Linked DNA regions of Arabidopsis thaliana. The protein of the gene in region 1 interacts with the protein of each later gene in a pairwise test. Each region holds a gene or a part of one and is shown on either strand. Other genes may lie near its edges. The genes, in order: AT5G25260 and CA1.

Evidence for each region.
Region 2: the proteins of AT5G25260 (region 1) and CA1 interact in a protein complementation assay, tested with the Arabidopsis thaliana proteins (one large-scale study listed by BioGRID).

The regions. Positions count from the first base shown.
Region 1 is NC_003076.8:8,750,794-8,755,291, forward strand, and holds AT5G25260 (SPFH/Band 7/PHB domain-containing membrane-associated protein family), read left to right. Parts: upstream 1-1,890; 5' UTR 1,891-1,957; coding exon 1,958-2,318; intron 2,319-2,458; coding exon 2,459-3,489; 3' UTR 3,490-3,729; downstream 3,730-4,498. Other genes in the region: FLOT1 (SPFH/Band 7/PHB domain-containing membrane-associated protein family), read left to right, coding at 1-637; AT5G25265 (Hyp O-arabinosyltransferase-like protein), read right to left, coding at 4,001-4,060, 4,200-4,313, 4,458-4,498. UniProt on the Arabidopsis thaliana protein: May act as a scaffolding protein within caveolar membranes, functionally participating in formation of caveolae or caveolae-like vesicles.
Region 2 is NC_003074.8:193,844-200,226, reverse strand, and holds CA1 (carbonic anhydrase 1), read left to right. Parts: upstream 1-2,066; 5' UTR 2,067-2,353; coding exon 2,354-2,575; intron 2,576-2,662; exon of another isoform or gene 2,663-3,379; intron 3,380-3,501; coding exon 3,502-3,563; intron 3,564-3,721; coding exon 3,722-3,871; intron 3,872-3,971; coding exon 3,972-4,020; intron 4,021-4,128; coding exon 4,129-4,245; intron 4,246-4,385; coding exon 4,386-4,439; intron 4,440-4,532; coding exon 4,533-4,618; intron 4,619-4,715; coding exon 4,716-4,821; intron 4,822-4,889; coding exon 4,890-5,048; coding exon of another isoform or gene 5,049-5,054; exon of another isoform or gene 5,055-5,335; coding exon 5,336-5,374; 3' UTR 5,375-5,801; downstream 5,802-6,383. Other genes in the region: LSF1 (uncharacterized protein), read left to right, coding at 1-61, 153-368, 473-578, 691-803, 979-1,123, 1,250-1,372. UniProt on the Arabidopsis thaliana protein: Reversible hydration of carbon dioxide. Required for photosynthesis in cotyledons. Binds salicylic acid.

The DNA.
Region 1 (4,498 bases):
TGCTCAGGTGGCTGAGGTTGAAGCAACCAAGGCCGTGGCTTTGAGAGAAGCTGAGCTTCAGACTCAGGTCGAGAAAATGAACGCTTTGACTCGAACAGAGAAGCTCAAGGCTGAGTTCCTTAGCAAAGCTAGTGTTGAGTATGAAACCAAGGTTCAAGAAGCAAATTGGGAACTATACAACAAGCAGAAACAAGCAGAGGCGGTTCTATACGAGAAACAAAAGCAAGCCGAGGCACAGAAAGCGCAAGCGGATGCGGCTTTCTACTCAAAGCAGAAAGAAGCAGAGGGACTTGTTGCCTTAGCTAGTGCGCAAGGGACTTATCTAAGAACCCTCTTAGACGCTGTTCAGAATGACTATTCTTGTCTTAGAGACTTCTTGATGATTAACAATGGTATTTATCAAGAGATCGCTAAGACTAATGCGATGGCGGTTAGAGACTTGCAGCCCAAGATTAGTGTTTGGAACCATGGTGGAGAACAGGGTGGTGGTAGTGGGAATGCTATGAAGGATATAGCTGGACTTTACAAGATGTTGCCTCCGGTTCTTGATACGGTTTATGAGCAGACTGGGATGCAGCCACCTGCTTGGATCGGTACTCTACGTGGTGCGGAACCGAAGCAAGTGACTCGCAGCTAAGAGAATAGTGGCATGGTTTGGTCGTTTACTTGTGGTTGAAGATACATCCATGCGAATGTAATTTTTTATTATTTTAATCCTGTTGGAGGACTTGGCTTATTCTTGTGTGTGTTTTGAAGTGTGTTATTGATATTCTTAATTGAATCGTATTCGTATATGTTGAAAATAAATTAAAATGAGGAATAACCAAAACCAGAGAATTATTTCATTTTTATATATTGGAGTCTTGAACTATTTCAAATTCAAAGAACGATAGCTCGTCCTTTCGGGAACAACCAAAATCAACGCCCTCCGATATGTGGGCTAAATAGGAGAAAACTGGTTCGGATGGTGGCTAGAAAATAAAATTTTGCGGTTTTGGCGGAAAAACACATCATGAGAATGGAAGGTGTTATGCGCATAGTCTGATGGGAGGTGATCTAGCCACTGACTGACTGACTAAGAATTGTGTTATGCGTGTAGTCTAGCGGAAGGTGAAAGGTAGGAATAGTCATTTGGAGAATTAGGACGCGCTTGGGTCATCGACCAGGACAGGAGCAGCTAGCTACTAGCTGACTATCTGAAGTCTTCTTCATGTGTAGTTTCTTGGAAGTGGGTTGAAGTTTTATCTTATTAGGAATTTGCAAAAAGTCTCCGATCCTATTTTATTCTAAAATATCATATGTCATAGTCAAACAAGTTTGAAGAGATTTTGGCAAACTCAACGTCTTATTATCAAAATGAAAATTGTAATGTATATAAGCTTGGTCATGGTCAACATTTAATATAAGATGTAACTATATGCTATACGTAAACATCCGAGATTAGGATCTACATCTATTGGTTTAATGAATTATGATTTATTTTGTTTGGTTTATATATGGTGTACTTATATACTATAGTTTACCCTACCAAAAAGAAAAATATACTATAGTTTAAAAGATTTTGAATTTTATGTATTTGCTGTATCGTGTACATACATTTTTATTTTTTTTTGCTAAACCGTGTTCATACATATAAATCTTGAATTTTATCAAAGACAATTTCATCAAATTTTAACAAATATGATTTTTTTTGCAATACAATTCAGCTTGACAAAATCTAAATAGAAAGTCAAGAATGAAACATTCTTCACAATCATCCTTTTTTTTTGTGATATATACAAGTTTGTGAAATTTCTTTAACATTTCTCTAACAGTGACAGACAAAGTCTTGTAACATGTCAACGACTATATGTAATATATAAACACTTCTCACGAAACAAAAAAACAAGTACAGCTACTCATTCTTCGTCTCCAAAATCATTTTGGCGAAAAGCAATCAAATCCTTAGATCCTAGACATGTTCAAGGTTGCAAGAGCATCACAGTACTTAGCCATCACCGGTGGTGGGATCGAAGATATCAAGCTCTCGAAGAAATCATGGGTGTTTCCATGGCAAAGGTGCACCGTTTTCGACGTATCTCCCGTGAACTACACTTTCAAAGTCCAAGCCATGAGTGCAGAGAAGCTCCCTTTCGTTCTCCCTGCTGTCTTCACTATCGGCCCTCGTGTCGATGACACTGAAGCGCTGATTCTGTACGCTAGGCTTATTTCGCCTCATGACAAACAGTCAAATCATGTGAATGAGCTTGTTGAAGGTGTTATCGAGGGAGAGACTCGTGTTCTCGCTGCTTCCATGACCATGGAAGAGATCTTTAAAGGTAACTTATATACTTTTTTTGGTCCCAAAACATTTGGTGTTGCCACAATGTAACACAAACCATTAGGCCATACTAATACAATGAATTTTCTGAACGATTTGATTAAAAAGGTTTTTTTTTTTGTTTATATGGATTTGAAGGGACGAAAGAGTTTAAGAAGGAAGTGTTTGATAAGGTTCAATTAGAATTAGACCAGTTTGGTCTCGTAATCTACAATGCAAACGTGAAACAGCTCGTTGACGTGCCTGGACATGAGTACTTCTCTTACTTGGGTCAGAAAACCCAAATGGAAGCAGCAAATCAGGCCAGGATCGATGTGGCTGAGGCCAAGATGAAGGGAGAGATCGGTGCCAAGGAACGGACTGGGCTTACGCTACAGAACGCTGCGAAAATTGACGCGGAGTCAAAGATCATATCGATGCAGAGGCAAGGAGAAGGGACGAAGGCGGAGATCAAAGTGAAGACTGAGGTTAAAGTGTTTGAGAATCAGAAGGAAGCTGATGTAGCTAAGGCCAACTCCGAGCTAGCTATGAAGAAAGCTGCTTGGACCAAGGATGCTAAGGTTGCTGAGGTTGAAGCAACCAAGGCCGTGGCTTTGAGAGAAGCTGAGCTTCAGACTCAGGTCGAGAAAATGAACGCTTTGACTCGAACAGAGAAGCTCAAAGCCGAGTTCCTTAGCAAAGCCAGTGTTGAGTATGAAACCAAGGTTCAAGAAGCAAATTGGGAATTGTACAACAAGCAGAAGCAAGCGGAGGCAGTTCTATATGAGAAGCAAAAGCAAGCCGAGGCACAGAAAGCTGAAGCAGACGCTACGTTCTACTCAAAGCAGAAAGAAGCAGAGGGACTTGTTGCTTTAGCCAGTGCTCAAGGAACTTATCTCAGAACCCTCCTAGACGCTGTTCAGAATGACTATTCTTGTCTTAGAGACTTTTTGATGATTAACAATGGCACTTATCAGGAGATTGCTAAGACTAACGCGCTTGCGGTCAGAGACTTGCAGCCCAAGATTAGCGTTTGGAACCATGGTGGAGAACAGGGGATTGGTGGTGCTAGTGGGAGTGGTATGAAGGATATAGCTGGACTTTACAAGATGCTGCCTCCGGTTCTCGATACAGTTTACGAGCAGACTGGGATGCAGCCGCCGGCTTGGATCGGTACTCTAAGCAAGTGACCGCCTCGACAGCTAAGAGGTTGATGCCATGGTTTGGTCGTTACTTGTGATTGATAATCATTGAAAGTGTAAAGTGTTATTTTATTTTAATCCCGTTGGAAAACTTGGTTTATTCGTAAGTGTTTGAGGTTGTATTTTTTACTTTAATTGTATTCGTATATATGTTGAATGTGAAATAAAAATGAGAGACAAATTTTCAGGAATTTGCAGAGACCATAAGGTTATTTTGTAGTATGTAATGTATGTACATATTGAGTGGTGTTTGATGTGTGTATCAAGTCTAGGCTTATTGTAATTTATCCTTTGAGATGCTAGAGGACAACAAAATCTAGTGGAGACCAGACTGAATTAGAGAAGTAAAATGCCAAAGAAATGCTTTGTTTGAATCACTATATATGTTACAAACCTAGCCACAACCAAAGGAGAAACTAAAGAGCAGGACAAGGTATTTTGAAAAGAAAGGAGCAACTCACAGGTACATATAGATTACGGTTTCTCTCTCTCTGTCTCTTTATGATCCCCAGTTTGGTATGTTGGCCGTGGCTTCATTTATCATCTTCACTAGTGTTACCTGCCAATACATTAATGAAGAGAACTGAGCTGTGTTTGTAATCATTCGCAGGGAAGTTGCCGCGTAATTCGGCCCACCGACTGGAACATAAAATGGGTAATGTGTTTTAGAAAAATGAAGGCAGGACATGTAAACATACCACACTTTGTGAAACACCAGGTGGAGGCATTGTAAGGTTCCTTGGTGGTGGTTTGCTATCATACGATCTTTTGTCAAATCTCCATTCCCCGATTTTCCCATAAGTTAATTTACCCTGAAATCATCACAATCATTGTTTTACAACCCTCTCTTATCAATTTCAAATCATATGCTAATCTCAGTAAACAAGTTCTCAAGTTTGTATTTATCATTTTTTGTCCTATTGTTTATAAATCATAATCAGAATTTGAAAGCTTACCTTCATATCATAATCACATCCATAAGTGTAGTGTATGATGT
Region 2 (6,383 bases), on another chromosome or scaffold:
CACAAAGTATCAATGATGCATGCCAGAAATCTGAAGTCTTAATGATCAACTACCCTATAAAGTATGCAAAGTCATATCGCCTTGAGGCACATTATGTGCGTTCATGCTTTCATTTCCTACCGCTCTAATCAGTTTTGATATTTTGGTGCCAGGGATGCAGATTCCTTTGATCTTAGGAAGAAGCTACCACTTTGTGTTGGGCTCTTACTACGGTTACTGAAAAAGAACCATCGTGTCTTTGTAACTTGTACCACTGGTTTTGACCGGTCATCCGCTTGTGTGATTGCTTATCTGCACTGGATGACTGATACCTCTCTTCATGCTGCTTATAGTTTCGTTACTGGATTGCACGCTTGCAAACCTGACAGGTTTTTATCCATCTTATCTCTGTCTTGACCATTAACCTGCAGACCATGGATAGCTTTTCTGTTTTAATGAAAACATCAGACAAGTTATATGTATTTTTTCACAGACCTGCAATTGCTTGGGCAACATGGGATCTTATCGCTATGGTGGACGATGGCAAACATGATGGGACTCCAACACACTCTGTAACCTTTGTGTGGAATGGACATGAGGTGACTGTTGCTTCACATGCTTTTATTACTTTGCTGCAATTCTTTATGGAACTCGTGATCTGTAGGGTTGAGCAACTAGCCTCTGTGTTTTAAGTTACACCTTGGTTTACAGGGGGAGGAGGTATTGTTGGTTGGGGATTTCACAGGAAATTGGAAAGAACCGATAAAAGCAACGCACAAAGGCGGTCCACGTTTTGAAACTGAAGTTAGACTTACACAGGGAAAGTAAGTCATGCTTCTTTTACCTTTCCCGTTGATGCTTTTTTTAAGGTTCAACAGTAAAACGTCTCATAATCTTCCCTGCATGTTAATTGTGACTTTTGAGGGATTGCAAACTGCAAAGAAACTTATGAAAATGCATTTGTGTCATATAACTTGGTGATTATTGACAATGTGGCAGATACTACTACAAGTACATAATCAACGGTGATTGGAGGCATTCAGCAACTTCACCAACGGAAAGAGATGACCGAGGAAACACGAACAATATAATTGTAGTTGGTGATGTTGCTAACGTCAGGCCTACAATTCAACAACCAAGAAAGGTTACTCCTACTATGCAGTAGTCTCTTCTTCATACAATAGGAAAAGCTTGAATAAGATGTTCCACGTTATATTTGCCTGATTGGTTCAAGACATAAACCTGAAGCAACTTGTACAATGTTTTGCAGGATGCAAATATCATAAAGGTGATCGAGAGAGTGTTAACAGAGAGCGAAAGATTTAGGCTGGCGAAAGCAGCTCGGTGTATCGCATTCTCAGTTTGTCCAATAAGACTATGCCCAAAGTCGTAGAAGTTTTGTTTTGGCATAAGTTAAAATGTTACATCCATTCTTCTGTCTCTATCCATTCCTCGAGGTACTTAACCCTAATATCGTTGTGAACAACATTGCCACATTCGCGCACTCTATGACAAGAGAATGTTGACATTATGTTGTGTGTTTGCATGAAAAAATGTCGACATAGTTTCGCCGTTGCCCACTTTACATATAAGTCCCAAAACCAACCCTAATGCGTTACTGGTCTCTGTATTTCTTCTTCATTTTCTCTCTCTCTCTCGCTCTCTCCTAACATGTTGAAGAAAATAGAAACTCTGTTATCTAATGTTGCCTATATGATGATTTATGGCCATGGAAGGTCTGAGAGGAGAGACCCTTCTTCTCTATTTTTTTTATTTCCTCTTCATTTTCATGCTAAGAGTTTTCACTGAGTCTGTTGTTTCGTAGAGTAGAACAGTCCATGATCGATGTTAATCCTTTGCATCTTCTAGATTGTGTATACAATAGCAATCTCTGGTCTAGAGAGAGCCTAGAGAAGTATGGATCTTTCTATATGTATACCACAAACAAATGGCCTAACATCTAAAGTGGGTGGTGATTATTTAAGATGAGAGCCTGAGAGGGTAAGTGAAAGAGGCTGATCCTTGTTTTCATGATAAGGGACCTTATCCTCTAAACCTTTCTGAGACCTTTTATTTTTTTATAAAAAAAAGAATTGAAAGAAGAAAAGAGCACGTAAAAGTTTTGAAATCTTGAGCTAATATTCCTCATCCACAAGAAAAGAAGAAAGTTTGTTATTCACCGCAGCTATCGCTTTCGTTATCCTCGTTCCCACAACCTCACCATGACCATGAGACTCCGTTCTTTTAAACTCCCAAATCTTTCAACCAATCCCATTATTCACTTAAGTATATAGTAGCTTCCATAAGAGTCTTAGTTCTAACTATAAATACACATATCTCACTCTCTCTGATCTCCGCTTCTCTTCGCCAACAAATGTCGACCGCTCCTCTCTCCGGCTTCTTTCTCACTTCACTTTCTCCTTCTCAATCTTCTCTCCAGAAACTCTCTCTTCGTACTTCTTCCACCGTCGCTTGCCTCCCACCCGCCTCTTCTTCTTCCTCATCTTCCTCCTCCTCGTCTTCCCGTTCCGTTCCAACGCTTATCCGTAACGAGCCAGTTTTTGCCGCTCCTGCTCCTATCATTGCCCCTTATTGGGTATACATTTTTACATTCATCACTGTTTCTTAACCTACATTATTTCTTACATAACTTACATTGCTGTTTACGTATAATAGGGGTACATTACATAGATAGCAAACTAAAGTTACAGAATTTTAAAATTTGTAAAGATTTTACGAAATTATTATATAGATTCTGCAATTGCCATTTTAGTGATAGGAACAAAAATCTTCTATAGAAACTAGCTTACGAAACTTCCACAAATCTTGGAAACTGTCACATGTGTTTCACATTTCAGTTTTTTTTTCCCTTGGTATTTCCTTATATTATCCTTACTATTATCATCCGTGTTTGACTTTTGGTCTTTAGCGTGGTACTGAAAGAATTACCCAAATTAACAAGAATCAAACTAAAGTTGCTTAATTAGTGAATCACAAGCAAGGGAAGAGTTCATTTTCAATCCTTATTCTATACAGATCTTCAAACTACTTGCTTCGACATCTAGTGAAGTTAAAAACAAATCACCTCGAAATATTAAAAGCGTTGTCTCATTCCTACCCAAGATCCGACATTTTTGAAATTTTGAGAGTTAGAACGTACGTAGGATCCACGTGATAAAAGAAAAGTTGCTAGTAGTAGCTTCAACAAAAACGATTCATGAAACTGAGACGTGTGTGTATGCACATGTACCATATGAGAGCGTGTGGAGCATAGTGGTGATTAAGTCGCCATCTATATTTATTCATTCAACCTACCGATTTGGTTCCTACTAGCGAAAATAAAATCATAATATAAAAGACTATAAAATTGTACTTTATCGTATAATGAAGTTCTGAACAGGTTGATTGTAGTTTCAACATTTAAAACACGTCATGACTCGCTCTCTACTTAATTACGTTCACGACAATAAAATATACTAGTACTCATTTTCTTCTAATTTTATTTGGTCAACCAACTTGCAGAGTGAAGAGATGGGAACCGAAGCATACGACGAGGCTATTGAAGCTCTCAAGAAGCTTCTCATGTAAGTATATACATCTTTTCTATTCGCATGCATACATTAATACATGATTAGATTAATAAAAGCTAAAACATTATTATAAATTAGTAACGGGATTTTTCAATACTACTTAATTCATAATTTTTGTGATTTAACTATAAATGTATATAAACATATGGCAGCGAGAAGGAAGAGCTAAAGACGGTTGCAGCGGCAAAGGTGGAGCAGATCACAGCGGCTCTTCAGACAGGTACTTCATCCGACAAGAAAGCTTTCGACCCCGTCGAAACCATTAAGCAGGGCTTCATCAAATTCAAGAAGGAGAAATACGAGTAATATATATTTCTATTTCATTTGTTTGTTCTTAATTATGTCACCAACTAAAGTGGTCTAGATTAATTAACTGGTTCATATTTATACTTTTATTTGCAGAACCAACCCTGCTTTGTACGGTGAGCTCGCAAAGGGTCAAAGTCCTAAGGTAAATTAAAAATAAAACTAATACTATGTGTATATCATGGTTGCTTATAAATTAAAAATGAAACATTAAGAAAAAGTAATTAACAAAGGTGTGTGAATGGTGGTGCAGTACATGGTGTTTGCTTGTTCAGACTCACGTGTGTGTCCATCACACGTTCTGGACTTTCAGCCAGGAGATGCCTTCGTGGTCCGTAACATAGCCAACATGGTTCCTCCTTTCGACAAGGTTAATAATTTAACACGTCTGTCTCTCTATAGATATAAACTCTTCTATCTTAAACCTTCTGCCTCTTGAGTCTTGACTTTTGTCTTGAGAAGTCGTGACATTCACTTTCTATTTTCATTTTTGGGTTGCTAAATTGGCAGGTCAAATACGGTGGCGTTGGAGCAGCCATTGAATACGCGGTCTTACACCTTAAGGTGAAAATAAAATAAAATAATTAACACCTTAACCAAAAAAAATTATTTATCAAAGTACATGTAATTAATTTTTGAATGAATTTATTACTGTAGGTGGAGAACATTGTGGTGATAGGACACAGTGCATGTGGTGGGATCAAAGGGCTTATGTCTTTCCCCTTAGATGGAAACAACTCCACGTAAAATATCTCTATATCCATTTTATTAAAATTTAATCAATTTTAATAACAGGATTTATTAAATGAGATTAGTAAAAAATATATACGTTAATTGCAGTGACTTCATAGAGGACTGGGTCAAAATCTGTTTACCAGCCAAGTCAAAGGTTATATCAGAACTTGGAGATTCAGCCTTTGAAGATCAATGTGGCCGATGTGAAAGGGTATACAAACACATGTTAGATCGATGAGCTGATCATATATAACAATATAAATGTATTGATAAATGCAGGAGGCGGTGAATGTTTCACTAGCAAACCTATTGACATATCCATTTGTGAGAGAAGGACTTGTGAAGGGAACACTTGCTTTGAAGGGAGGCTACTATGACTTCGTCAAGGGTGCTTTTGAGCTTTGGGGACTTGAATTTGGCCTCTCCGAAACTAGCTCTGTATGAACCAATCCATCATCATCATCATCATCATGACCATCCATCATCATCATCATTATTATCATCGTATATAATATATATCTACCCCATATGTAATTTGTAATGTGCCTTTGACTGTGATGAGTTATCTCTCCCTCTCTACCAACTTTCTTCATATATATAAAACAAAAAGGAAAAGCAGATGATATAGATCTTTCGTGGTTTAATTATGAACAATTGTCTTTATTATTTGTGTATCAAATCGGTTGTATTTATGGTTTGATTTTATTTTCTATGTTGTTTGGTAGGTTAAAGATGTGGCTACCATACTACATTGGAAGCTGTAGGAAACTCTTTGAAGCCTTACCCGATTTCACATTGTCAATTCAATAACACCAAGTTGTTGTTTACATGCAGATCTTGATGAAACTGGTTTTTGATTTTACAGAATTAAAATCTTGGGGGACAGAAATTTGAATAAAAACTAAAAAAAAAAAAATCAAAAAAAAATCATTGAATCGTAAATAAGGATATCCGGGACGGGCGGATCCGGATAATGAAAAAAATGAACCCGGATATCCGGATCCGGTACCATTAACTACATGAAATAAAAAGGCTTGGAAACCCATTTAGCTAAAAGCCCATATATTTAACAAACCAAATATTTTTGATACCCAAGCCCAATTAATTATCACTTGCCGACACAAACACAAAATCATTCTTTGAAGGTCACAAAATCATTTCGATCTCTTCTCGATATCTCACAAACCCTAGAACTCTGGATCTTTTAATTTCTGGGTTCGATACCCAAATCCTTAAAACTGTCGAATTCTGGTACCCGGAACCCGGATATCCCAGTCTAACAGATCCGGATGCGGATAGTGAAACTGTAGATTTGTAGCTTCGTAGTTTTTTGGTCATATAAAATATAAACATCTGAAATTTGTCTGTGTATGTTGCTGTTTAAATTTGTCCGCCTACACATTATGGGCCTAGGCCCAAGTTTGCAATTCTTTATTGTGGCAATTAAATGGTCAGGTTCGGTTTAGGTTTTACATATCCATCATGAAAAAGCACCGTTGAACGGGCTTAAATCTTTGTCCAAGGACGACGTTTATGAATCCGGTATAAATCGATCGAAGAAGATTAAACCCACAAAACGAAAAGGCTAAAGCTTGAGGAAAAAGTAGCAAAGTGACCAAGAGTCCCATGATTTCATGAAGACATGAACTATATATATCTACTCATTGATTTGATAAATACATTATATTTGATGTTACATATTTTTATTTGAGATTTCTAATATATATTTTCAGAATGATAAATTTTATTTTTATATTTATCTTGAACTGATTT